Daphnia pulex: one gene and its partners. The main gene of each other region encodes a partner of the protein of the gene in region 3 in a complex. Links are inferred from orthologs where the notes say so. Each region holds a gene or a part of one and is shown on either strand. Other genes may lie near its edges.

Region 1 (3,693 bases), on a different chromosome or scaffold from region 3:
AATATCTTTTAAAAACAACTTAATGTTTAACTATTGCACATTCAGGAAATGGTGCATAAAATGGGGGGCATCGAAGCGTCCGAGGAAATGACAAAGGAACACATGGAAGCAATGCAAGGCGGTGAACTGTTAAGAGCTGAAGCTGCTCATTTTGGACAGGTTCGGGTTACCAAGAAAGCTGCCCAGCGTTTAAAGGAAACATTGCTCGAATCCAATTTGGCCATTCCCCTCTGTCTTCTTATCGCACAGCAGCGCAATTGCGTTGTTTATCGAGAAACAGAGAATAATCATCTAAAGGTATTTCTTTTTACAAATATTTTACATTTAAAAAATACATAGCATTACATCTTTTTTATTTGATTTTTCTTCATGTAGTTGGTTGGTAAACTATACGACCAATGTCAAGATACGCTCGTTCAGCTTGGAACATTCTTGGCTTTGAATATGAGTGTCGACGACTATGTTAGACGCCTTCCACAATTAGGATCATTGCTCTCCGACTACCACATCCATGCTGATGTCGCATTTTTTCTGGCGCGACCAATGTTTGCTCATTCGATCAATTCCAAATACGATGAATTGCGGCGTGCTGAAAAGAATTCAAAGAATTTACTTCCGGCCCAGAAGACTCAAAAGTATTTAGAGGTAAGTCGCTTGTCTTGAATATGTTTGTCTTACTTGAAATGATTCCCAAAATTGAATTTATTAGGCTGTACGATTGGTCATGACTCCCATTTGTGAATCGGTTCGTCCTTTGTGCGCGGCCAGAGTTTGGGAAGATCTATCTCCTCAATTTTTTGCCACTTTTTGGTCGCTGACGGTCTACGATTTGTCAGTACCAAATGCTGCGTACGAACGTGAAGTGCAACGCCTGAAGGTAGCCATTCAACAGACAAATGAAAATCGTGATCTGCCAGCCAGTAAACGGAAGAAAGAGTTGGATCGCTGTACGGCTTTGATGGACAAACTTCTGGAAGAAGAAAAGAAACAGAAAGATCACAATGAACGTATCATGGCGAGATTAACACAAGAAAAAGACAGCTGGTTTCTCTGTCGATCGGCTAAATTAGCAAAAACGGAGACGATCACCCAGTTTCTTCAACTCTGCCTTTTTCCTCGATGCGTTTTCACCGCGACAGATGCCTTATTTTGCGCTCGCTTTGTACAGGTACGTGCGTCTAAGTTGCTCATCATGAATATTTTCTCTGGCTAACTTGTTATTTTTGGGTTGTTGTTTGTTTTTAGCTTATGCACAATTTGAAAACACCAAACTTTTCAACGCTGATTTGCTACGATCGCATCTTTTGTGATATAACATACACTGTGACTTCTTGTACGGAAAACGAGGCAAATCGTTATGGTCGCTTTTTGTGTGCCATGCTTGAAACTGTAATGCATTGGCACTCAAGCAAGAAAATATTTGACGAAGAGTGTGCCAATTATCCTGGATTCGTTACCAAATTTCGCGTCGGCAACCAGCCTTCGGAAAACAACGATCACGTTGACTTTGAAAACTATCGTCATGTTGTTCACAAGTGGCACCACAAGATTGCCAAAGCGCTAGTTGTATGTCTTGAATCAAAAGACTATGTCCAGATTCGAAATGCACTGATCGTCCTAATACGCATCTTGCCATTCTTCCCCGTTATCACGCCTCTTGTCGGGGTAATTATTTGTTATTTCTTTGTTGAAACAAATTAATTTTTTTTTTTTAATTTTATTTGTTATACATTCTAACAGGTGATTGATCGAAATGTCGAAGTAGTACGCAGTGAGCAACGAGACAAGCGACAGGATTTATCAGCGATGGCTATTTCATATAGTGGTCAATTAAAGAACAAAAAAACGTCAATTCCAGAATATGAATTCCATCTGGTGACGAGGAAACCTGTAAGAAAGAACATTGTCTTCATTGTTTCATCGATAAAACATGGATGTTTATTTTAATTTGTTTAGGTAACTAAAACAACTCCTCAAAGTACCAATCCACTTTCTGTGGCAGCAAATCCTGGTGCTCAACCTGAGAATGGAATTGTTAAGCATGAAGGAGTAAATGGTAAAATTCCAAAAATTTCTCCTGAATATTGCTTCACCTTAACTAAATATAAATATTATTAGGGGTGGAAAAAGCTTCAACAAATTTGCATGATACTCCTACCTCTACTCCAAGCGAATCTCAGTCGAGCACTCCAGTCGCTGCTGGCCTCAAGGAGATTAAAAAAGAAAAAGAAATAAGGTAATTTTCTAACCAGCTTTAGAATCACGGCACTTTTAACAGTTTTATTATTTTGGCAGGGAGACAAAGGATAAAGTAAAGGAAGAGAGAATAAAAGGAGAGAAAGATCGGCACAAAGAATCGATTGAAAAACGAGAAGAAATTCCTGACCGTACGAGAGAGAAGAGGATAAAAGAACGGAAAGAAGATAGAGAAGATAGGCCTCATTCGGGCAAGGTAAGAAAACACGATAACTCCAAAATTACATGGTTATTAAATGTAACTGAATTATGTAATCAGCTTGACCGTGAGGATGAATGGATGGAGCGTGACAGAGAAGATCGCAAGGAACGACGTAATATCCAAGAAACCGAGGAGGAACGTCGTGAAAGGAAAGGCGAGCGTAAAAGGGTAGACAAAGTTGTTACATTTCTTCATATTTGTTGCTTTTCAATTCTGAAGCTCTTGCTTGTTTGTTGAAGGATCGGGTGCTGGAGGATGTTTTGATGGATGTCAAACGTCGAAAGGAGGACGAACGAGAAAAAGGTAACTTTTCTTATGAAAAAACTACAGTGAACTGTTACCATTTTCTTAGTTAATTTAACAGTAAGATCCCCAAGGCATGGAAACGGAAGTCCCTCTGATGGAAACGCTGATAGACGAGGACACAACAGAGTATTATGATCAACAATTTTTTTTTAAATCTTTCTCTTAAATATTACCTTTTTTTTCCTTTTGTATAGGAATCACCTCTTTCACGAGAAGCATCGGATCGTTCATTTGACCGCGCAGATAGAACAGAACGAGCCCGACGCTCCACGGACAGCAAACGGAGATGAAAAACGAGAGTTTAAAAGGAATTGATGCGTCTGCTCATTTTTCTCATTGAAATTTATTTTTAGTGAAAGAAATTTTTCCAGTCATATTCACTCCTTATGGTTTACTTCAGGCCTAGACAATAAAATTAATTTCATCGTATTTGTTTCACCATAGAATTCTCCTAGTTTGAATACTACTTTTAAGGGTATCATTAAAAGTACACAAAACAACGAAGAAAGAAAACGGAGCTTTATTTTCTCTTTAAATTAATAACTTGCGGTCAGTAACTAAACAGTTAGATCATAGGTCTGACCTGCGCAACAAGTTCTGCAGTTTTTAGCAGTGTTGGGCTACCGCGATATTATTACAAAAACAAAAATAGTACCATATCGCAGTTTCTCGTAAGGATTCTGTTTAGGTTTCGGAGAGTAGTTTTGTTTTTAACCACGCTTTTGTTTATCTTGTTTTCTGTTTGTCGTCTGCTTTTCAAAGTTTTCTTCATTTGAAGTTTTGTACATGATCAAAAGCGTGCTCGAAAGGATGAAAGCAGCTGTTATAACATCTGTTAGTGTTGTCTTTCTGGTAAATTACTTCTAAAAATTACTTTACTGACTACTTGGCAGTGAAATTTTGTTTTTTCATATCACTAAAACAAGAAA
Region 2 (3,611 bases), on a different chromosome or scaffold from region 3:
GCACACTGGATTACCTGCTGGTTTTGGATTTTGTCAGTTTCGAGATGAAAAGCAAGCAATGGAAGTTCTACACAAATTGAATGGCAAAATCATTCCATACAGTCAGCCGGTAGTGTATTAACTTTTAATTTACCATAATTTATATTAGTTATATTATCTGTTTTCCCACTTTTAGCCAAGCCGTTTCAAGTTAAATCACAGCACAAACACTAAAGGTTCTACAGCCGATCATGCACTGTGGGTGGGAGATTTGAGTGCTGATGTAGATGACTATGGCCTTTACAAATGTTTTTCTGCAAAATATAACTCAGTTCAATTGGCAAAGGGTAATTTGTAAAATTTCTGTAATGATTTTATTGGCAATTATCTGAACTTCTCGTATTTTATGTTTAGTGGTCAGAGGCAGCAATGGAGAAAGTCGCGGCTATGCGTTTGTTAATTTTTCTAATGAAAGTGATTACAAAGATGCGCTGACACATATGCAAGGTCACAGAGGACTCGGCAGCAACCCACTTAGAGTTTCATTGGCTATTCCTCGTAATTACAACATGATACCTGGTAAATGCACGCTTAAACTTTTCTTTGGAGTACATTTCATTTCATACTCTTTTAACTTTTAGGATCCTCATCCAGTACATCTTCTACTTCTACGTTAACTGCATCGATTGCTTCGTCAATTGTCCAGGCCGCAGCCAGCGGCCAGCCAGTTCAACCTCAAGCTGCTGCTGCAGCAGCTGGCTACGGACAGTACGTCGATCCAGCCTATTGGCAACAGTACGGTGGCTGGCAAGGATATGGTTACCAAGGCGGATACGGCTATGATGGTCAACAAGCTTATGCCGGATATGGCGTTGCTGGGCAAATGCCTGCTCAACCTGAAGAAGATGAGTTTGAGCTCATAGAACACAATACACCCGTCGATATTGAGAAACTGAACAGAGAACTTTTTGAGCGCAATCAGGATTTGTGGGATGCACTAGATGAAGCTCGCTGGACAACATTCAATCCAGAGAAAGCCGTTCCGGCAGTTAAAGCTGAGGAAAACGGAAGCAGTACTCCTACAGTAGTGGCCGCCTAATTTCTTTTTATAAAACACTATTGACCATCTCATACGATAAAAAAACAAAGATTCATTTCTGCTTGTCATCTGATTTTGTTTTACAGAATGAATACATTGATTTCAAATAAATACAGATTTCCAATTCTTTCACTTTCTGTATTATCTAGTATATTTAATTATTGACATGATTCTACACCCATAAAACATTTCCTCCACCCACATTTTTTAAAACATGCACTCTTACTCAATCGTAAATCACGACATACTTTCTTTTTTCCGCTAGGTGTCACTTTACTACCCAATAGCAGTCGAAAAAAGTTGAGCGTCATTAGTTCACAGCCGGGCAAACATCAGCAATTGTTTTCATTGACTTCACGAGAAACATTTCTAGATAGCTCGAAATTATCTGTTTTCGGCATTTTCTTGACCGTAATTGAACTTTGGTTCAGCAGTATTCTAGCACAAAATGGCTTCAGGAGGCAGAGTACCAAATAATTCAACTTCCTTATCCTTACATGAAAGGTATAAATCATTAGGCAATTTGGGTTTGTTATGTCGTATATGCGATTGAAATAGTTGTTTGCCGCAATTTTCCCCCTGTTAAACATTGAATTTCCTTGCTTTTATAAAGTATGTGTTGATTTTCTTCTCATTTGCTGATTTTTAACGCATGAAAATTTTTCGTTACAGATTCTCCAAATTACGAAGCTCAGCAGGGGGTCAGAAATTGGCTGGAAAACTGCAAGGGGCTAGAAATAATGCAGCTAATCTTCAAAAGGCATCAAGCAAGAATAGCAGACTAGCTCAACAGATGGAAAGACGAAATGCATCAGTCAGTGCTGCTTTGAAACTGAAAAAGGTGCAATTCCTCGTTTTTAATTCATAACCAGATATACTTACATCATTTATACTGTTATTCAGAAAAGCATCAAACAACGCCTTGGAGCCACAGTAAACACCAGTACTCGATTTCGCGGAACGGCCACCCAAACTCAAAGGAGACTCACAACCAATCGTGGAGCTGGTCGCGGGAGTCAGTCGCGAGGATCTCTGCGAGGAAGTCGAACGCAAGGGCAAACGGTCACCCCAACAAAGATAATTCGAGGCCGGGGCGGACTGAAGCCCATTGTCAGCCAAACAATCGTTCGTGGCGGTGGACAAGGAAACAAGAGAAGCACTCGCGGAAGAATCATTTCTCCATCGAAAAAGCCAGCCCCCGTTGCTGCCACAACCAATCGTTCGCCGACCAAACCTTCGCGTGCTAGAGGCAGCGTGAGAGGAAGACGAGGTGGTCGAGGGCAGATGACATCTTCATTGATTACCGGGCAAGCTGAAAGTCGTATCCAGCGTGGAAGAGGAAGAGGACGAGGCCAACGTGGTGGTAAGGGACCCAGTCGTGGAGGAAGCAGCTTGCCGACATCTCCGCGCGGTCAGACATCCGGACGTGGTCGAGGGCGTGGTCGAGGTGGCTCTACCAAGGTCAGCAAAGAAGATTTGGACAAGCAATTGGATCAGTACATGCAAAAGACTCGTAGCGCTCTAGACAATGATATTGAATCCTACATGTCTAAAATTGGGGACGTTGAAATGAATTAAATATGCAATAATCTTTCTCCAGTCGTTACCTCACCTGTGCTGCTCCCCAACTTCAAACGAAAGAACCTTCTTACTAATAACTCCCCTTCGCCAAGTCTTGATTGACTATTAACAATGTTTTAGTCCTTAAAGTTAAAAGTGAATCCAATTCAGAATTTGTCTTTGAGAAAATGGTTGGACTGTTGTGAAGAGTCTAGACAGAAAAAAGAGATTTTGGACAACCTTGTCTTGATTTCATTCTAGCACTTGATTAAATGGTTCTTGTACTTTCCCCCAGTTTTTGGAGTCCCTTTTTGCCGTGTGTTTCTTGCTTTTCCCTCCTGTTACGGCGCACTTAGCACATGTATCTTTTTATAATTCATTCATATTTCATCCGAGGACTTGAGTGTGAAAAGGTGTGCCTGTGAAACGAGAAAGAGAAACTCATCCCAAAAAATACAAATGATTAACCTCAACACTAATTTGATTTTTGTTCCTTCATTTAATCGTCGCTGATCATAGACAAAATTACAACAAATTACTCTAATGATTGGCCAGCAGTAATCAAGCGGGACCGATCGAAGCTAAATTAAATGGATAAGCTACAATTTTCCTACACAACTCAAGTCGAAATCAACTTGCTGATGGGCAACGGAACCCAACGAAAGAGCAACATTGTACAGAGTGTCTGGTGACCATTCGAGTGGGATCCTTGGATAGGTGCCAGCGTTAGGAAGCGAAGGGAAAAGACCCAGTTGACGCAGAAAAAAGCGAAAGGGTTTCGAACTCAATGCGGAGGCTTCCGCTTCCGTCCAAGGGACTATCGGGCATGGCGTATTCAATTTCAAGCTCAAACAGGTAATTGGATGACGGAATTCGTGGTCGGAGTAAATGCCCAAACGTGCTGCACAGGCCGTCAATAAAGACGACTGAATCCAATCGAGTTGTTTCTGAAATCCTATATTTATCGATACAT
Region 3 (3,935 bases):
ACATATTTACTATTAATGTATCATGTTTTGAATTGTGGAAATTATGACAGACACGACTCAAATCAAACTGCAAATTGCTCTGGTTTCATTGTCGAAGAGTTAAATAATCCATTTGGTTTAGTGTAGCAAATGTTTTATTATGCCATATGCTCCAAAGTTTTATATATTAATGTGATCATTTTTATTTGAATTTTTTGTTTTAGGCTGCCAAGATCCCTAAGCGTTTCGCCCCAACAATTGGTATTGCTGTTGACCACCGTCGTCGTAACAAGTCTGTGGAATCATTGCAGTTGAACGCCACTCGCTTGAAGGTCTACAAGAGCAAGTTGATCCTCTTCCCACGCAATGCCAAGAAACCCCAGAAGACTGATGCTACTGTAAGAATTGTGACAAGGATTGTGTACCACCACTTTACAATAACATTATGTTTTATTTCAGCCTGAGGAAATCAAGTTGGCCCAACAGTTGACTACTGAGGTTATGCCCATCACCAGGTCTTACAAATTGGAGAAGGCTCGCGCCATCACTCCGGCCGATCGCAAATTCTCTCCTTATGCTGTACTCCGCACGGCCCGAACAACAGCACGCCTTGCAGGTATCCGAGCTAAGCGAGCTAAGGAAGCGGCTGAAGATCCTGAAGCAGCCAAGGAGGCAAAGGCTAAAGCCGCCAAAGCCAAGGCTGCCAAGGGTGGCAAGAAGAAGTAAACCGTTCTCGGGATTGTATTTTGTATTTCAACCAAAAACGGCAAAAATACAAGATTATCCTGTCTATAATGTGTCAGACGTACGTCGAATTGCCTCAGTTCTTACAGCTTATTTGGTGGAAAACTTTCGTAAAAGTCAGACATAAGAAAGGCAAAAGTTTGAAACCTTTTTAAAATATTCACAAACATAACCCACAGTAGTTTTAACATGATTTATAGGTATAAGGTGTCATTTTGCTTGAATACCAATTATTAATCCTTAAATGGGAAGGATAAAATGTATAACAGGAAAATTGCATACTTGACGATCCCTTTGAGATAATTAGTGATGTCTATATCTCAACTCATGGTTAGAGAAATGAAATGTTGGTGGTTGAATATTTTTAAGCTATCGGGAAACTCCCTTACTCATGTAAAGGTAATGTTAAACGGTTAGGTCCTCTTTCTAAATCATTGATACAATGCGCAGTCCTTTCAAGATTAAGAGTATTGTTTAAAATTTCAATTTATTTAAAGCAAGGTTCCAGGACTCGGGCTATTTTCCTATTTTCTTTGATAAAGCCTGATAAAGCTAAAAGAAAATTTTAATTTTAACGGAACTAGTTCTTAAAATTACCGCTACGTGTACCCGTTTAAGAATAAAAAGATTCAACACGTTATACAGTTTTGTCGGCCTTGCATATAGTAGACGTAGACAAGACTTATTTAACATAGTAAACTGGTAAACGGAACAAGCTTGGAAGCGGTATTAACAATGTCTAAACCTTCCAAAACTAAAAGAAGTGACTCCGAATCTATTAAACAAGATCCCAAAAAAAGCAAAAATGATGTTTCATCTATGGCAGCAGCAAGTAAAGTGAAGGAATTTTGCAAGGTACTTGTTACTTAATTCTCTTAACTTTGGTTAGATTTTTTATTGGGTAAATGATATAGTGCTGAATTTAACTTTTCATTTGCATGATTTTCTAGAATTTCATGGACATTGAAGACAAGGAAGTTGAATCCCGGACAGGGGAAAGTGACTTGAAAATATTCAAAGAAACATGTTGTGAATTAAAAAGATTGATGACAGACATTTTACAATTGAAAACATCTGGAAAAACCGATGAAGAAACCAGTAAAAAGATCATTGAAAAAAGAATAGAAGCTTCTCTTTTGTTTGTAACATTGAAGAAGTTAAATCGAATAGACAAGCTTAGATTGAAAAAGGCAAGGGATACAACCCATGATGCCAAGCAGCGTGTGGATACATTTCATTTACAACTAGAAAATCTGCTGTATGAAGTCTTTCATCTGAAGAAAGAAGTGGACAAGTGTTTGGAGTTCAAGTCTAAAGATGAGGACATTGAACTTGTTCCTGTTGAGGAGTTTTATCAGGAGGCCCCAAGTAGCATTTCTAAAATGGTATGAAAATCTACCTATTGTTTACCAACCACTACCAAAAAGTATTCTTATTTTGTTTTCTTTACATTTAGGAATTGACCAAAAGTAATCAACACAAATTGACTTTGGCTCGGTTGGAATGGGAATTTGAACAACGGAAACGTCTTTCGGAACAGTGCCGTAGTCTGGAACAAAATCGAGAAAAGGCATCCAGTGAAATCAGTCAGAAACAAAAACAACTTGAAAGCCTGTTACCCAGACTTACTTCCATACTTGAGGTAATTAAGTGATACAAAATCTAAAAGAATTTGATTTTAATATTTATGTTTCGAAAGTCCACGCGACCCTTACAAGAAGAGCTTAATTTGCCTGTAGAGCGAATCAAGTTTCAGAAAGAGTTGGCTGTGTTATTACCGGATCCACTTTACATTTTGTACAGTCAGATAAAAGCGTTCATTGAAGCATGCGGTAATTTTATTAAATTCGTAAGTTTTCTTAATCGTTACGATAAATATGACTTTAACCCGCAGATCCGTCATTGCAAATTTCTATCGAAGGTGGAATGGAAGATGCTATTAATTTTGGGTCAAAGAATAAAACTGGTTTGGACGAAATTCTCGAGGATGTTGATTCAGCGGAATCTGACATGGAGACGGAATATGAAACAAACAAACGCTCCGCGACTTCAAATAAAATGAAAACAGATTGGCAATTGACTAGGCATCCTTTACGTATTCAACTTAAGATTGAACGCGTTGTCCTTAACTTCACGTATTTAACAACATTAAATATCGTCACGGTCGACTGCAAGCCCGTTCAGCAAGACGATGGAGTAAAGTAAGATTATATTATTGCTTTCTTTCTATATGTCGAAATGTCTTTTAAAAAAGTCTTTCTCTTACTAGTCAGATTTGTATGATCGATAATCTCCTTTCCGGACTTTTTCCAAACGACCATGGGGATGAATCGCCCAGTTGGGTCAATTGTTTTCAAGCAAGGTCTATGATCAACGGTAAAATAACTGAACAAGGAAAACCTTACCTTTGGGCCCAACGTTTAGCTGGGTTAGATTTCAACGGCATCGTAAAATCGACACCTCAATCTTTCATCAACACGGAATTCGTTGAAACGGTCTCTATAATTTTTTAAACAACAATAACATAGTAAAACAAGAATAACCGTGTTTACTTGTATTTAGGTTATTCTTGCCCTAAAAAGTAGGATTACTTATCGTTTCCAGTTTGTTAAGGTTTTACACTTACTTGGTGAGTCTTATTTCATACTTGTTATAAAACAGTTTTAAAATATGCATAGTTTCTTTAACATTAAACAGAAAAGGGTGAACTTGATCTCAATCAAGACTCAAATGCTACTTTTCCACCAACAATCTATTCTCGACTCGTCTCATGGACGTCTTCTACGTATGAAGAATGCCTCGTAACGTCAAAGAACCTTGAACGGCTGTTGAACTTCCTTGAAGTAAATCCAAAAAGCCTTTCGTTTTACAAAGCAACTCTTGAAAGAGAATCCGGTATAGTTGTAAAATATTTTAAAATTTAATTTCTGTTAAGGATCCTGTATGATGAATTTAATTATTATTGGAACCTTTTTTGTATTTGAATTCCAGCAAAACTACTCGCGATGTTCATGGTTCCTGTAGACTACCCGAACTCTACACCAATTTGTTCACTTGAACTTAACTGGAATGGAAAGCACAATAGAGAAAATAGTGAAATTATACGCGTATGTATTATAGCTAAAACTTTTCGTCTTCGGTTTTGTGATATTTTACGTAATTTTTAAAAATAGAGAATCGAAGCGGAGGTTAACGTTCCCAGTACTGAACTT
Region 4 (3,224 bases), on a different chromosome or scaffold from region 3:
CAGACCAGCACGAGTCCAATTTGTCCCAGGGTCAGACATCTAATGAAATTACAACAGTGGAAGAAGTCAACGCCGAAATGAACCTCATACTTCACCCCCGAGCCGGAATTCTACTCCACAGTAATACCTGATTAAATTAAATATAGTTATGAATTAATAGTAACAAAACATTTGTAACGAAAACAGGTTTCCAATTCTCTAAACCAACCAAGTTTAACAGCGAAGCCGCAGCCTTCGCTCAACCATCACGAATTCCTTACCGTGGAAGTTCAATTCCAATCATCGACAGCATCAACGAGGCTGCAGTAGCTCAGCAACTACGTCAAGCAATCCGCCGTACACTTCGCAGCTCATAATAAGCACTTCACAATCTTTATAAACATGACTTTGTTAAAAAAAAAATTTGTAGTTTTTCCAATACACTCAATTTGATACAATTGGACGTTACTAGATCTTTTGGCTTCTACACATCTCGGGAATCACAAATAAAAAAACAATGGTTTTTCGCTGAAAGCTTCATTTTTTTTTGTCTTAAAACCAGGTCTGACAGGTTTGTCTTTCAAAACACTGAATTTGTATGAAAAGAACGAAAGAAAAAACATTATTGAAAAAGTGGTGGTGGTGAGGAGAATAAGTAAAGGTGATCAGGAGTTTGCGTCAGTGATTCAACCTCTGATCCACCACGTGTGGACTCAAAGAAATCAAATAATTTGGTGAACATTACACGATTGCGTTATTTCAATTCACTCCTGTATGACTCCAACTCGGCATCAAGCTCATCTGCTGTCGGTGCAGGCTGTTTGGGATTGCGTTGGCGAGCACCACCAGCACCACCTCGCTGACCACGCTGGCCTCCTCCTCCTCCTCCTCTCTGGCCTCTGTTGGAAGCTGGTGCACCAGTCCTCTTTTGTTGCGGCCCGTTGTTAGTGTTAGCTCGAGGGCTGGTTAGTCGGTTGGCGATTGTGTTCAAATCGGAAGTAGCCATCTGAATGACCATTGATCGACCATCCAATGGGACTCCGTTGTACTGTTTCATTGCCTATGGAAAAGAAACAAATATTGATGCTGTGTGTCCTACAGTTGACAAGTTTCATGAAGTTTACCTTGACGGCATCAAGACGGCGCTCAAACACAACATCAGCTGTACCGAGAGATCTGCCTGATCTGTCATAATGCACAGAAGCATGTTTCAATGGTCCAAATTCCATAAAAAGTTCCTATAAATAGAATTATTCAATACATGTTCATCATGACAGAGAAGCAATATATGTTATACCTTAATGTCTGCATCTGACACACCAAAGTCTAAGTTAGAAACAACAAGCTTGGAAGAGCCGCCTCCAGCAGCATTCGGTGCAGCACCCAACCTGGGATTGCTTTTCCTTGGTCCACCTTCATACATGTCATGAGACCAGTCACCATCTGGGTTGCCCTAAAAATAACATACACAAAGAGTCAGCACTATTGCATCACGAAGACTGTAAGATACAGACTAGCTTGGATTTGAAATAGACGAACAAGTCAACCAAGGATTATGCAATACTTTCTGATAGAACATAAAAAAACAAGAAGAATAACTTAACAAATATTTACCTTGGCGTAAGGTGCAGCACGACCCCCAGCATTTCCCTGTCTTTGATTACGAACGGGTCCTGAGCCGGCATTACGGTTGCCTCCACGAGAACTGCCACCACGACCGCCGCGTCCTCCACGGCCCCGGCCGGCTGAACGGCTAGTTTTGATGATATCATCCAAGCTCATGTCAACTTTGTCGCCCATTTTGATAACAATAAGTTTGTGGAGGACTTGACAAAATTAAGGACTATCAATTTAAAAACGAAACACAAGTTTAAGAAAGATTCAATAAGAACGAAACAAATGGATGATGGTGACAGGGACGGTACGACAATGACGCCACGCTCAATCTCTATGCCAAGTTAACGAATATGAGCCTAAGCAAACTCTCAATGGCGCCCATATTGCCCGTTTGCCAGTTTCAAAAACAAGAAACATAAATAATTTAATACTCCTTTTATTCTAAGTGATTTATTTTTCAAATAATAAATTTAAATTTATTTGATTCAATTTTACAAATAAAAAACAGTTTAGTTTCAAATTAAGTTTTTAACCGACGTGGTTGCCAAGCCCGGTGTTTTGATTCTGCTTTTCAACCCTCTAGATGACAACACGTGTTTAAAGTTAAAAGTTAGTGCCTGTAAATTTTAATTAGGCCCCATAATATCCCGATTATCAAGAAATATCTAATGAATTTGCGATTTGCATTGTTAAATGTTGTAGTTGTTACTGTACGTAGTTTTCATTCTAATCAAAAGGTATTCGGCGATATAAAAAATAAAAATCGTGTGTTAAATTTACTCGCCAACATGCCGAAAGATACGAGTCATGTCGCACGTCTTCAATCAGAAAGACAGGCAAAGAAGATTACTAAAACAAAATACCCACCAGGAACCGTAACATTACAAGTTCTGGGTTCTGGTGTCCGTGGTGCACCACGGTCCCTCTATATGTTCACCGATCAATCATGGTAACATTTTAAATTAAAGCAAAAGTATTTTAGTCTAATTCCTGTTTGCTTTTAGTTATCTCTTCAATTCCGGAGAAGGATCTCAACGCTTGGCCCATGAGCACAAGTTTAAGCTGTCCAAAGTTGAGAACATTTTCTTCACCCGTACATCTTGGCAAAATGTGGGTGGATTACCTGGAATTTCATTAACAATTCAAGATGTTGGTGTTCCCAATATCACACTCCATGGACCACCTGGATTGGTAAACAAATAACATCTAAGCACACATTTTAATGCAGATCCAATAATATCATAATCTAATTTTAATAGGGTGAATTATTTACTGCTGCCTCCAGATTCATCATATTAAAGAATTTACAAGTCAATCATGTGGATGCTACTTCACCTGCATCATCTTATGAAGATGCTGCCATGAAATTAAATTATGTAACTATTATGCCCAATGATGATGCAAAATTACCACGTTCAGCTTCTAGTTCTCCTATCGAAGAGGAGGATGTGACCAATTATTATTGTCGAGAAAAAGGAAATCCTGGTGAGTTATCAGTGGTTACAAATTATTAGAATCGAAATGTAAACAAAATTAATTTTCTTAGAGGACGTTCCAGCTGCTAAAAGGACTCGTGTTGAAGATGAAAGTGACGAGAACCCGAAATCCAAAGCCGTTCTAGCTTATGT
Region 5 (2,926 bases), on a different chromosome or scaffold from region 3:
GCCGTCCATCGAGATAGGCCGAAGCCGTACCGATTCGATAACACCATCAAAACAATTTTCACAAAATATCCGTTAGCTATCAAGAAAAGACAACTTATAAGGCAATTTACTCACTTAATGGACTATCTCTGCCTAATCTATCAGCCCAAACAGACCAAGGCTGGCCATGAAGACTTGTTGGACTGTCATCGTTGGACGCCATCTTTGTTAACAGAAAATTTTTTCTTAATTTCTCCTCTCCGAGACTCCGTCTTCTTTCCTCACCTGCAACAGCGTTGCAACTATAGTGAAAGCAGCTCGGCAGCTACCACTGCCCTTGATGCCTTGCCTCCTCTAATTACTCTATGGCATTAACACCCATTGGACTATTTCAAAATTACCTTTAATATAGTACTTGTATATTTTTCCTAGAATTAAAAAATGCGTTGCGTTTCTTTGCCACTTGAAGACCTTAATGTGTAAGCGTACTAAAGTTGTTGATTCTATTCGTTGGCAATTTATGAAATTTTATGATGATTTAATGATGAAATTATCTTCTAGCGAAACGTTCTAGCAATAATTTAAATCCTCAATCGTCCGTCTATTTTTTTTTTAATTTTGGCAAAAGATTTTATGCATTGCGGAACTCAAAAAGTACATTTTTCTTTGCGCTAAGTATCTTTTTACAATTTTCACACATGGACTGCAACAAGTATGACTATGAGAACAAGCTGCACATAATCATAATGACATCAACTGATAAACACATATGTGAAAATTCCCCATTGAGGTACCAAATCTCTCTCAACTCAGTTATTTTATATTACCAACCAATCAACCATCTGACATCTTGACAAATACAACCATTAATTGACATGCACCTTTTATACTTACAAATAAATGTTGTTTGTAAGTATCTTGCACCCAAAATTATTTTTTCACTGTCAGTTACACACCTGTTTAAAATGAATCTGTCAATCTTGATCACCAATCTCAATTTTCAGGACAATAAAAACAGGTTTTCCTAGAATGTAAGGCAACAGTTTAATTAAAAAGAAGAGATTGACGTTAATCTGGAAACGAGAAAAACAACACTCCAGATCCAGCATTTCATTGGATTCTTTCCTTGACATCACCTGATTGATTCTAAACCGTTCAATGGTTTCCCAAGTATATTGCTGATCTGCTGGACTAGCTCTCTTTCGGTTTTGCTAATGTTTATACAGGCATGCAAGTTTAACCCTAAACAAAATAGATACCTAATCAATCGGATGATTTTTTAAAAAGCCATGTCTCCTTCCTTTCATTTGAGGGGCGTGTCGTCTGCTGGCGGATTTAAAAAACAAAACAAAAGACGAGCGAACTACGCTTACGGCAGACGAAAATATTTTTTCATTTTTCAGTACTTTCCGGCGTTTCCGCAGCGACATTTCTCCTAGGTTTGTCATCTCATTCTTTCGCCCGGTTTGACATCTCAATATTCTCAAAGCTTTACCAGTTAAATTGTATTATTATTGGTCTTATTTTGATCCCAATCATTATTCACAAATGGGAGATGGTAATTTGACTTGTTAGTAATATTATTTCGGTTAATTTTCATCTTGTACTTCGTTATGTAGAAGAGATCATCCGAAGGAGGCTGTTGTTTGATGGCGAAGGAACTGGTGATGAAAGAAGACTTAATGTATTGCTTAAAGGTTTCCTAGCTTGGTGCAACTCTACAGATAGTGTTGAAGAAACGTAAATTAATCTTTGTATAAAATTCTTCTATACTCTATATGTGATGTATTTTTATTTGTTTTACAGACAAGCATCCTACGCTAGAATGATTGGTCAGATTGCCCAATGTGAATTTGCTGCCACAAAATCCTTGAGGTGCTGTGAAATGAACACTGCAGAACAGCAGCACTATGACGACCTCTACAACCAGATTGAAGAAGGAATTGTGTCAGCTAAAAAAGACATTGAAGCAACCAAGAAGGAGTTGCAAGAAGCAAGACAGATTCGCAGGAATAAAATGGAATATGATGCTTTGGCTGCCATTATTCAAACACAGCCTGATCGAAAGAGCAACCAAGAGAAATTATCCCTATTGCGACAGGAACTGGAAGCTTCAGAATGTGAATGTCAAAAACTGGAGGCCAAATTAGAACAAAGACGCAAACAATTTCACTTACTCATTTCAACTATCCAAGGATTACAGCAACTTCTTAACGATGATGAAGCATCCTAATAATTGTTCATTTTGTATGCATCCCTTTTTTCTATTTTTGAATAATAATGCTAACAAATAAAAATCATTTGAAACACCAAAAAAGCTATGTATGAATAAACTATCCAAACGGTACATATACGACTTGGAATGCCATAGAAGAATGTTTCAAAAAACACCACCAATTCTTCTCAACTATCCATAGACCTCTGGTAAGGAATGGGTATAGGAATGAGTGACTTAAAAAAAGGGCGTTTACAACGCAACAAGTTTTTTCGCGGCTTCGGCAATAGCCTTGGCGCCGATTCCAAAATGTTCTAGGAGAACCTCTGGAGGACCGGAGCGGGGAACTTCGCGAACTGCCAAAATCTTGACGATAATATTTCGTTGTTCGGCTAGAGTTGAAGCAACAGCCTCACCCAATCCACCTTCTGGGTAATGGTCTTCAACGGTCAAAACCCGGCCGTTGCAACGAGTGGCTTCCTTCAACAGCAAATCGTGATCAATGGGTTTGATGGTAAATGGATCGATGACAGCAGCCTTGATGCCGGCTTCCATCAGCATGTCGGACGCCTTCAGCGCTTCGTGGAGTGTAACGCCGGCGCCAACGATAACCAAATCGTCTTGATCGTGACTACGAACAACGTGACCCTTTCCAGCAGAGAAAACTTGTTCGTTCTCGTAGATGACGGCTGTGTTGGGGCGAGATGTACGAATGAAGCAAATTCCTTTGGT
Region 6 (4,078 bases), on a different chromosome or scaffold from region 3:
AACTTTTTGTCAATTTTGATACTTCAAAGTACAAGTACATCTTGGCATTTTGCCCTGGAGACAGCGTTGTGACTGTTTTGTTTGCGTACTTTAGCTTGAGATATAGTAATGTTTTGCGAGTTATCCTTTACTCCCATCAATTGTTACTAGCCAATGCAGAGAGTAAATAACCCAAGATAATTACATTAAAGGCTTGACAAAGAGTTATTGTAGCCAGCAAATAAAAAACAAATCGACAAAGTTTTTGGCAATCATCCTTCTTCTATTCGTTCACAGGGACGATTTGAACAGAGAAAACAACTTCTTCTCATTAAAGGCTCTCAAAGCGATCGCCATCTACATGTTTAATTACAATAGAATAAGGCCTAAGGATTCGCGTTTCTTGCTTCAGCTTACGTGCCGCGTCATCTTTCGTTGATGACGTCCTGCAGTCCAAATGACACAGATAAATTGGTTTGAAATAAGTAAAATTTTATATCTTTTATCTGGTGTTTTATAATGCTACTAATAATTTCCTTTTAATTTATTCTTATTTGAGATGATCAAAGGCGAAATAGGATTTTAAAAAGTGCCACAAACGGCGGTTCCCTGCAGTAAAGAATCGATATCTCTAATCCTCTATGCCTTTTCCTGGTGCACTTCAGGAAGTAGACATAAAATCAGAGCTCGTAAGCAAACAGAGGTAGTTCAAATATAGAGACTAGAACAAGGTTATGAAATCTCGGTAGATAGTGCAGTCGATACTGTAGTTGTAATATGGCAGGCAATACCTGCCGATTTTCATAGGAAATCAAATGATAAAAGTAATACGAATGGAAGTTGAAAACATTCGAGTATTTGAATGCGCTTAAATATTGTTTAGTAGTGAAATGAGTAGCATTGGAATGCTATTGAAAATATTGAGTTCAAAAAGGCTACTTATTGTCGATTACATTAAACATGAGAAATGTCTTAAAATTAGGTAGTTTTTATATGGGAATTTTATCTTTATTAAACTCGGTGCAGTCCCGCGTTAGATGATTTTTCAAAAAAGGACTCTCTTTTGTAGAACACCATTTTTATTGATCCGTCGACTCGCCATCTAGGGGATGATAATCGAGTAACATTTTTGTATGAAAACGTCAAAACGGTAATCTCAGTCAAAACATATTCTTTGAACAGATAAATTATTTGATTATCACCGATTACTTATTAGTTAAACTTGAATGGTTTGACATTTACTTCTTTCCAGAATTTCCGCTTTCCGGGATTCGGAAAAAAAAATCAAGTTGATTTTAGAATGGCAACATTGCAATTTACAAACTTGGCAACGCAACCAAGTTTTGAAGCGTCGTCTGATCGTTTCGAAAACACGACTATTTTTATGTTTCTTACTTTGTAAAAAAACCACTGAAATGGAAATATTTGATTTTGAGAAAACTCGGTGTTCGTTTCTGGTACAGTAAAAAAATCTATCAATGAGCCATATTTGAAATAAATTGAAAAATCTTATGTCTTCTGTGTTTGGTTTCTGTAGGATTCCATTTCTGAAGCTCTTAAACTGGGTGGTCCACCCACTATCAGTGAATTACTTTCAGTTAACAATACAGCTCATCTTGGGTAAATTTAATCAAAGCAGAAAGTATTTACATATTATTGTAATTAAACATATTTATTGTAGGGAAGCTGATAAAAAAGCTGTATGGGATCAGGCGTTTAGAGACAGATTTTTGAGTGATTCCTCAAACTTTTCCATACCATTGTTTGAAAAGTTGTTGCAGTTGAGTCTGGATTGTGCAGTAGCTCTAGTATGTTCTCCAACACTGCCTGTGATTTTGCTCACAGATGCTTTTGACATCCTGTCTCTGGAAAAATGTGAGGAAATTTTCTACATGGTTGAAATGAAAGTAGCGATTTGGAAACAAGAGCTTTTCTTCAATCAGTGTAAAAATACCTTACTTCGCCTTTGCAATGGTATGTAAAGACATTTTTCCAAAATTCTAATAATGTATGACACAAATATTTATGTAACTGGATGCATCTAATTCTGTATTGATATGAATTCAATCCATTACTCTTATTTCAATGTATACCACTCTGCTAAATTCATTTACAGTGTTTCGCTTTATGTGAGTTGTGTTGCTGAAATGAATTTTATATGTATATTTTTTTTCAGATCTGCTGAGGCGCTTGTCCCGAAGCCAGAACACGGTTTTCTGTGGTCGAATTCTTCTATTTCTTGCAAAATTTTTCCCATTCTCTGAACGATCCGGACTTAACGTAGTAAGCGAATTTAATTTGGATAATTTGACGACATTTGGAGCTAAAGATGAAAGCTACGCTGCTGATATATCTGCTAATTCTGAAAAGCACAAGGATGCAATGGAAGTAGAAGAAAGGTATATATATTTGATTGACAAGTTATTGCAATATTTTTCTAAATTTTCTTGTTTTGTAGTTTGAGCTCCGACTACAATCTGTACAAAAAATTTTGGTCCCTACAAGATTTCTTTCGAAACCCTAATCAGTGCTATACGAAAATCCCGTGGAAAACGTTTTGTTTGGTAGCTAAAACATCAAGTATTTCAAGTTAAAATTTTCCATCTAACAGAAAAACAATTATTCTTTAGCATACTAGTGATGTTTTGTCTGCATTTTCTACTATCAAACTGGATGAGCGGAGAAACCGCTCTAAATGGGATGAGGCAGATGTGGCATTAAACATCGATATGAATGAAACCAGCATGAATGGTGGAAATGTCCAACAATATTTCGCCAAATATTTGACGAGTCAAAATCTTCTCGAACTTCAGCTCGGTGACTCCAACTTCAGACGTTACATTCTGCTGCAGTTTCTGATTATGTTCCAATATCTGGATTCACCTGTCAAGTTTAAACAGTTAGTTTCAATAAGTTTCATTAGTTAGACTATTTCAACCGCTTGAATTGCTTCTATTTATAGCGAAACTCACAAGCTCAACGAAGAACAAACTACGTGGGTTTCCGAGGCTATCGATCAAGTCTATCGGTTATTGAAAGATACACCTCCAGATGGCGCTTCTTTCGTCCAATCTATTCGACACATACTAAAGGTATACTGAGTTGTATAAAAGTAGTTTTAAAAAATATCATCCATCGGTGTTTGTTGGATGTAGCGGGAAGAATTATGGAGCAACTGGAAGAACGATGGCTGCCCGGAATTCCGGCCCAGCATAACCAGCTCAACCACTGATAATGATACTATAAAAGATGGTACCAATGGAGAAAAAAAGACGATCGTAGTTGGCCGACCAAGACGGCTCAAAAGAAGTCTTGGAGATCAGATTCGAGAAGCTTCAAAAAGAAATAAGTGCATTATTGGAAAGTAGGTAAATTATGAAATTATTTGAAAACATTGAATTACAGCTTTTTCTCTTTAGCGCTGAGATGAATCGTTTGTGGAATCTATGTCCTGATAACATGGCTGCCTGTCGATCTAAAGATCGAGATTTTCTACCTACATTAGAAAACTATTTTGAGGAAGCCATTGAGCAACTGGATCCTTCAGTGGAAAGCCAGTACAAGTAAAAATTTGCACTTTAAAGCTTACATTTTTCCGAAAATGTTTTAACTGAATGAGCGATTTTCGTGTTTCCAGGCGAGTTAGTGAGGCTAATTTTGGGTGGCGTGCTTTGCGGCTTTTGGCTAGACGAAGTTTACATTTCTTCACTCATGGTAATACTCCTATCACTCGGCTGCCAGATTACTTGGAAACGCACGTTCGCAAACTGGCCAAGGACATGCAGGTAGAGTAAAATCAGATGAATATCACGGTTCCCATTCTGCAATACAGGGAAAAGTCAGGGATTTAGGTTCTCATTTGGGAATATATATATATATTTTTTTTTAATATTTTGAGGTATTTTGAATTTTGTTATCGAGACTCATAACTTTTGCACGGGTTTTGCTGTTAAACAAAGATTTTGAAATAGTTGATCCAGAAGAAATACAGACGAGTTTGTTAGGTGTCAGGTAATTTTTCACATTCATTTGTCTGGAAATCCCTGGATAATCTTGATATATTACTGGTTTTGTAGTTGGCTTATTCAAATAATATGAT
Region 7 (3,733 bases), on a different chromosome or scaffold from region 3:
TTATTCATCTAATAATATCCAGCGAATCTCGAAAAAAAAGGTCTAAAAAAGAAGAAGAATGGAATGCAATTAGCATAGTTCATCAATATGGAACAGGCAACAATAACGCAATCATCGTCGGGCGGAATGCCTATTGTAATAGAAACTCTCCTATATATATTATATACTTAATGTTACAACACACACAGCAGAGCTGCCCTGCTGTATTTATATATATATATATCCGCGTTGTAAATCACCGGGATATATATAACGGGCCAGCGGGTCCAATCTCCATAAAGTGTCGAGGCACACCAGCAACAAAAAAGCGTATCATCGGAATCGTATTACCCTATAGACGTTTTCATTTGAAGGGGAGAAGGAAGAGTTTTAAATAAAATAGAAGGAAAAAAAACCCTTTTTTTTCCTTTATTTCTTATATATTTTTATTTTACTACTCTTTGGGTATAGGCCAACGAGACGAGTCCAGTGACCAGCCAAAAGGTCCAGGGAAAGAGAGAGAAAAAGAATCTTTTTGGGCAAAACGAAACGAGACGTTCGCAGATTTACGACTGCGATATGTTATTACGCACACACGGGACCGATTGGCTATCAAAATAGAAGAAGAAGAAGAAGAAGTTCTTTTGGTGTGTGTAATGATGGAGAGAGCAGCCAAAGAAAAAGGAGGTCCAGTAGGAGCATCAGCAGCAGCCCAGGCCAGGCCAGGCCACAAGGCGCGCTTGGACGCCCAGTCGCTTTTATCGTCAGTTAACGGGCAAGAAATTTGCTTATTTTATGGCCGTCTTCTTTTTCTTTTCTCTCCTAGAAGAAGAAGAAGAGGGGGACTCGTAAATTTCCCTTTTTTTTCTCCTTACTACCCCCGCTCTCTTCTTCCATCGACTATACAGCTGTAAATTCTTGTAAAGTCGATGCTAACTCGTTAGTCGTTAGCGTTATATAGAAGCCGTTCTGGTTGTAGTTGTTGTAGATGTCTTATGTGCTGTGTGCCGGCGCTGTGGGTCCAGCATGCACTGGCAGAGAGAGACTACGACTTTTTGTTGCTTTATATTACCCCGATGCCCAAACACGGATCATTTGATGATTGCGCGCTGTGAAAGAAAGAAAAAAAGAACAAAATATAAGAAAACTGAAATCTATATAGTCGTAGTTTTTGAAGAAACGGGCATAGCTGCTGCTGCTGCTGCCCATCCCAGTTGATTTGGACTCGGTTCTTTTGGCTTTGGCGCATATTATTGCCGTGTAGATATATATATATTTATCGGACGTGTAATAACATTCAAAATGGCGCAAGCTCCACAGCTATAGTTTATATGTGTAGCTGGGACTTGGGAGAGAGAGTATAATATTCATGCAGCTAGATCTCGTCTGATAGAGGCTGGACGCCCTTCGCTTGTTGAGTTCATTGTGTGTGTGTGTGTGTGTACTAGTCACGCTTGATTACGGTGTGTGTCCCGTGTTTGGTAACAAAAGCATTTCCACCTATCCGCCCACCCTACGCCTTTTTTATTTTATTTTTGTTATTTTGGGCCAGCCAGTCGATAAACGTATCGTTTAACGTCCGACTAATCAGAGCCAATTGAGGAGACGACATTACCACCACGCATTCCTTGCCCGACCCCTTTTTTCTTTTATTAGTGAGTTAGGAATTTCAAATTTCGCGCTCCAACTGCCATCTGGCGGATGAAGAAGAGACTTGGCATTGGAAATGGCGGGACGACCGGCTTCGCGTTAGTTCGTCTGCACACACTGTGTTTTGTTGACACGCGAGTAAAGGTATATAAACCGCTTTTTTTTCCCGAAATTATAAGAAGATGGCAGTCGCCGAATTGGAAGAGCTGAAAAATCATTTTAAAACGCACACTCGAACGAGGGAAGTCTCTGCACATTCGGCCAAGGTTCACACGGTTGATTGGAATTGCGATGGAAGACGGTTAGCGTCGGGTTCCTTTGACAAGACGGTGTGCATTTTTACTATGGAAAGCGACAGACTGGTTAGTATTAGTCCCGGCTTATCAATCATGCAGCAATTATAATGGAGCTTGAGGCATTCTGTTTCAGGTTAAGGAGCAAACGTTTGTGGGACACAATGACAGTGTCGATCAGCTATGTTGGCACGAAACCAATCCTGATTTGCTCAGCACCGCCAGTGGAGACAAAACCATGAGAGTTTGGGATGCAAGAGTTAAAAAGAGTGTCGCCACAGTAAACACCAAGGGTACAATTAATTACGAAATTATGCTTAAACATTCAATCCTTCATTAATGTGATTTGACAGGAGAAAATATCAACATCACGTGGTCACCTGATGGAAATTCCATTGCAGTGGGAAATAAGGAAGACCTTGTTACTTTTATTGATGCCAGGAATTTTAAGATTAAAATAGAACATCCGTTCAAGTTTGAAGTCAACGAAATAGAATGGAACAAGGCTAGCAATCTTTTCTTTTTGACTAGTGGGCAAGGCTGCATCCACATATTAGAGTAATGATGAATTTTCTTCCCCCTGCTTTCAATCTAGCATGACGCTATCAATTCTCTTGTATCTAGTTACCCAGAGCTTACGACCGTTCACGTCACACAGGCTCACCCCGCCAACTGCATTTGCATCGAATTCGACCCCACTGGACGGTACTTTGCCACTGGGTCGGCCGACGCCCTAGTCTCTCTGTGGGATGCCGATGAAATTGCTTGTTTGCGCACTTTCTCCAAGTAACATTAATGCCAATAATAACGTGCCGTTTTCTATTGAGGTTATTCAATTACTGACTGGGTGTTTCCCCTTTAGGTTGGATTGGCCAGTTCGGACATTGAGTTTCAGTCACGATGGGTCCATGTTGGCGTCCGGGTCAGAGGACTTGCTGATCGACGTCAGCCACGTAGGTACAGGCGAGCGCGTTATCAGCATTCCAGTTGACACGCCAACCTTCACAGTCGCCTGGCATCCACGCTCTCACCTGCTGGCCTACGCCTGTGACGATAAAGACGACGGAAACAGAGACGCCGGAACTGTGAAGCTCTTTGGTCTCTCTAACGAGTGATGGGCCCATACGAATCAAAACTAGGAGGTCTCGTGTTTTATACAGAATCCAGCTTTTTTTTTTTTATTTTTTCACTTGCAGATTTTCTTGTTTACTCTTGTCAAGAACTATTTGCCAAGCTTACAAACTTCAACTGTGTTGAGAGAGATACAAGTAAAATGGATCTCAGATCAGAGATCTTTTCCAGAAAACTGAATTGTTCCAGGACACATTTTCCCTTTTTTTTAACGTTCAAACATAATTAATTACTCAATAATAATTTTCGTTATTACTAGATCCCATATTTGTTAAAAGGTGATGACCGTTCGGCACAAATTTTTAGTCAATAATGAAAAAAACAGGGCGTTAACGTTTAAAGAAATACGACGCTTTTATGCAAGCAGTCCATCTAGGTAAGACTTATTCCTATCCTTATTCTATTACTAAAGGCAAATTAATTTAAGTTGTCGTGATAATAAGCATATTTCGTAGAAACAGATAGATTGATAGTTTGTGTTACATCATACGTGCCGTTGATTATGTACAAGGCTAAAATGTCGTTTGATATTTCGTAACGGTAGTTGGTAAACACTAAACACACACACCCATATATAGGCAGCAAAGCGGCACATAGACGAATGTATCGTTTTGCTCGAGTAGATTCATGTTCATTGTTCTCCGCAGCTAGAACGTGAAATACTCGGAATGCTTCTCGTG

Evidence for each region.
Region 1: THO complex subunit 5 homolog (region 3) and THO complex subunit 2-like share a complex: the UniProt entries of both Homo sapiens proteins name them as parts of the transcription/export (TREX) complex. The link is inferred for Daphnia pulex from reciprocal best matches to the Homo sapiens genes THOC5 and THOC2.
Region 2: THO complex subunit 5 homolog (region 3) and chromatin target of PRMT1 protein-like share a complex: the UniProt entries of both Homo sapiens proteins name them as parts of the transcription/export (TREX) complex. The link is inferred for Daphnia pulex from reciprocal best matches to the Homo sapiens genes THOC5 and CHTOP.
Region 4: THO complex subunit 5 homolog (region 3) and THO complex subunit 4-like share a complex: the UniProt entries of both Homo sapiens proteins name them as parts of the transcription/export (TREX) complex. The link is inferred for Daphnia pulex from reciprocal best matches to the Homo sapiens genes THOC5 and ALYREF.
Region 5: the proteins of THO complex subunit 5 homolog (region 3) and THO complex subunit 7 homolog are in contact, whole or in part, in a cryo-EM structure (PDB 7APK), measured with the Homo sapiens proteins. The link is inferred for Daphnia pulex from reciprocal best matches to the Homo sapiens genes THOC5 and THOC7. Residues at the interface, in NP_001002877.1 of Homo sapiens: Pro48, Asp51, Tyr52, Tyr55, Cys59, Leu62, Gln63, Met66, Ala67, Gln70, Phe95, Lys99, Leu101, Asn102, Ala105, His106, Arg108, Leu109, Gly112, Arg113, Gln115, Thr116, Ala119, Lys120, Val123, Tyr126, His127, Leu130, Leu133, Glu136; in NP_079351.2 of Homo sapiens: Ala21, Asp23, Ile27, Leu30, Val31, Phe34, Tyr50, Met53, Leu54, Leu57, Cys60, Glu61, Met64, Gly65, Thr67, Leu68, Val70, Tyr71, Asn74, Met78, Tyr81, Ile84, Tyr85, Ile88, Glu89, Ser91, Ile92, Ala95, His96, Lys98.
Region 6: the proteins of THO complex subunit 5 homolog (region 3) and THO complex subunit 1-like are in contact, whole or in part, in a cryo-EM structure (PDB 7APK), measured with the Homo sapiens proteins. The link is inferred for Daphnia pulex from reciprocal best matches to the Homo sapiens genes THOC5 and THOC1. Residues at the interface, in NP_001002877.1 of Homo sapiens: Tyr52, Arg113, Lys120, Asp124, His127, Leu128, Gln131, Asn132, Leu134, Tyr135, Glu136, Met138, His139, Thr145, Lys146, Glu149; in NP_005122.2 of Homo sapiens: Glu60, Arg145, Arg146, Leu147, Ser148, Ser150, Gln151, Lys285, Met286, Leu289, Val296, Tyr297, Phe298, Leu302, Ser304, Leu307, Leu310, Gln311, Ser313, Asp314.
Region 7: THO complex subunit 5 homolog (region 3) and THO complex subunit 3-like share a complex: the UniProt entries of both Homo sapiens proteins name them as parts of the transcription/export (TREX) complex. The link is inferred for Daphnia pulex from reciprocal best matches to the Homo sapiens genes THOC5 and THOC3.

Annotation. Positions count from the first base shown.
Region 1 is NC_060017.1:3,796,407-3,800,099, forward strand, and holds the end of THO complex subunit 2-like, read left to right. Parts: intron 1-45; coding exon 46-297; intron 298-375; coding exon 376-645; intron 646-709; coding exon 710-1,168; intron 1,169-1,245; coding exon 1,246-1,665; intron 1,666-1,740; coding exon 1,741-1,890; intron 1,891-1,956; coding exon 1,957-2,056; intron 2,057-2,118; coding exon 2,119-2,236; intron 2,237-2,295; coding exon 2,296-2,452; intron 2,453-2,515; coding exon 2,516-2,635; intron 2,636-2,697; coding exon 2,698-2,761; intron 2,762-2,822; coding exon 2,823-2,890; intron 2,891-2,958; coding exon 2,959-3,054; 3' UTR 3,055-3,193; downstream 3,194-3,693. UniProt on the Homo sapiens protein: Component of the THO subcomplex of the TREX complex which is thought to couple mRNA transcription, processing and nuclear export, and which specifically associates with spliced mRNA and not with unspliced pre-mRNA.
Region 2 is NC_060027.1:3,847,523-3,851,133, reverse strand, and holds chromatin target of PRMT1 protein-like, read left to right. Parts: upstream 1-1,370; 5' UTR 1,371-1,526; coding exon 1,527-1,582; intron 1,583-1,750; coding exon 1,751-1,919; intron 1,920-1,981; coding exon 1,982-2,656; 3' UTR 2,657-3,111; downstream 3,112-3,611. Other genes in the region: tRNA selenocysteine 1-associated protein 1-like, read left to right, coding at 1-109, 176-326, 394-558, 621-1,078; protein timeless-like, read right to left, coding at 3,238-3,593. UniProt on the Homo sapiens protein: Plays an important role in the ligand-dependent activation of estrogen receptor target genes. May play a role in the silencing of fetal globin genes.
Region 3 is NC_060020.1:6,248,670-6,252,604, reverse strand, and holds the start of THO complex subunit 5 homolog, read left to right. Parts: upstream 1-1,135; 5' UTR 1,136-1,458; coding exon 1,459-1,578; intron 1,579-1,673; coding exon 1,674-2,108; intron 2,109-2,179; coding exon 2,180-2,365; intron 2,366-2,422; coding exon 2,423-2,555; intron 2,556-2,617; coding exon 2,618-2,924; intron 2,925-2,992; coding exon 2,993-3,218; intron 3,219-3,285; coding exon 3,286-3,352; intron 3,353-3,420; coding exon 3,421-3,618; intron 3,619-3,714; coding exon 3,715-3,830; intron 3,831-3,896; coding exon 3,897-3,935. Other genes in the region: 60S ribosomal protein L13-like, read left to right, coding at 204-377, 439-705. UniProt on the Homo sapiens protein: Component of the THO subcomplex of the TREX complex which is thought to couple mRNA transcription, processing and nuclear export, and which specifically associates with spliced mRNA and not with unspliced pre-mRNA.
Region 4 is NC_060025.1:2,695,818-2,699,041, forward strand, and holds THO complex subunit 4-like, read right to left. Parts: upstream 1,988-3,224; 5' UTR 1,780-1,987; coding exon 1,594-1,779; intron 1,433-1,593; coding exon 1,277-1,432; intron 1,218-1,276; coding exon 1,104-1,217; intron 1,040-1,103; coding exon 734-1,039; 3' UTR 501-733; downstream 1-500. Other genes in the region: uncharacterized protein LOC124203100, read left to right, coding at 1-120, 187-356; ribonuclease Z, mitochondrial-like, read left to right, coding at 2,265-2,545, 2,601-2,787, 2,856-3,081, 3,143-3,224. UniProt on the Homo sapiens protein: Functions as an mRNA export adapter; component of the transcription/export (TREX) complex which is thought to couple mRNA transcription, processing and nuclear export, and specifically associates with spliced mRNA and not with unspliced pre-mRNA.
Region 5 is NC_060023.1:12,053,787-12,056,712, reverse strand, and holds THO complex subunit 7 homolog, read left to right. Parts: upstream 1-1,380; 5' UTR 1,381-1,527; coding exon 1,528-1,537; intron 1,538-1,598; coding exon 1,599-1,719; intron 1,720-1,785; coding exon 1,786-2,212; 3' UTR 2,213-2,426; downstream 2,427-2,926. Other genes in the region: ataxin-7-like protein 1, read right to left, coding at 115-202; transketolase-like, read right to left, coding at 2,447-2,926. UniProt on the Homo sapiens protein: Component of the THO subcomplex of the TREX complex which is thought to couple mRNA transcription, processing and nuclear export, and which specifically associates with spliced mRNA and not with unspliced pre-mRNA.
Region 6 is NC_060026.1:6,262,967-6,267,044, reverse strand, and holds the start of THO complex subunit 1-like, read left to right. Parts: upstream 1-1,278; 5' UTR 1,279-1,394; coding exon 1,395-1,436; intron 1,437-1,516; coding exon 1,517-1,599; intron 1,600-1,660; coding exon 1,661-1,953; intron 1,954-2,155; coding exon 2,156-2,378; intron 2,379-2,437; coding exon 2,438-2,543; intron 2,544-2,609; coding exon 2,610-2,878; intron 2,879-2,941; coding exon 2,942-3,071; intron 3,072-3,134; coding exon 3,135-3,343; intron 3,344-3,398; coding exon 3,399-3,542; intron 3,543-3,616; coding exon 3,617-3,764; intron 3,765-4,078. UniProt on the Homo sapiens protein: Component of the THO subcomplex of the TREX complex which is thought to couple mRNA transcription, processing and nuclear export, and which specifically associates with spliced mRNA and not with unspliced pre-mRNA.
Region 7 is NC_060028.1:7,657,440-7,661,172, reverse strand, and holds THO complex subunit 3-like, read left to right. Parts: upstream 1-1,357; 5' UTR 1,358-1,811; coding exon 1,812-1,991; intron 1,992-2,058; coding exon 2,059-2,215; intron 2,216-2,275; coding exon 2,276-2,480; intron 2,481-2,546; coding exon 2,547-2,708; intron 2,709-2,784; coding exon 2,785-3,037; 3' UTR 3,038-3,233; downstream 3,234-3,733. UniProt on the Homo sapiens protein: Component of the THO subcomplex of the TREX complex which is thought to couple mRNA transcription, processing and nuclear export, and which specifically associates with spliced mRNA and not with unspliced pre-mRNA.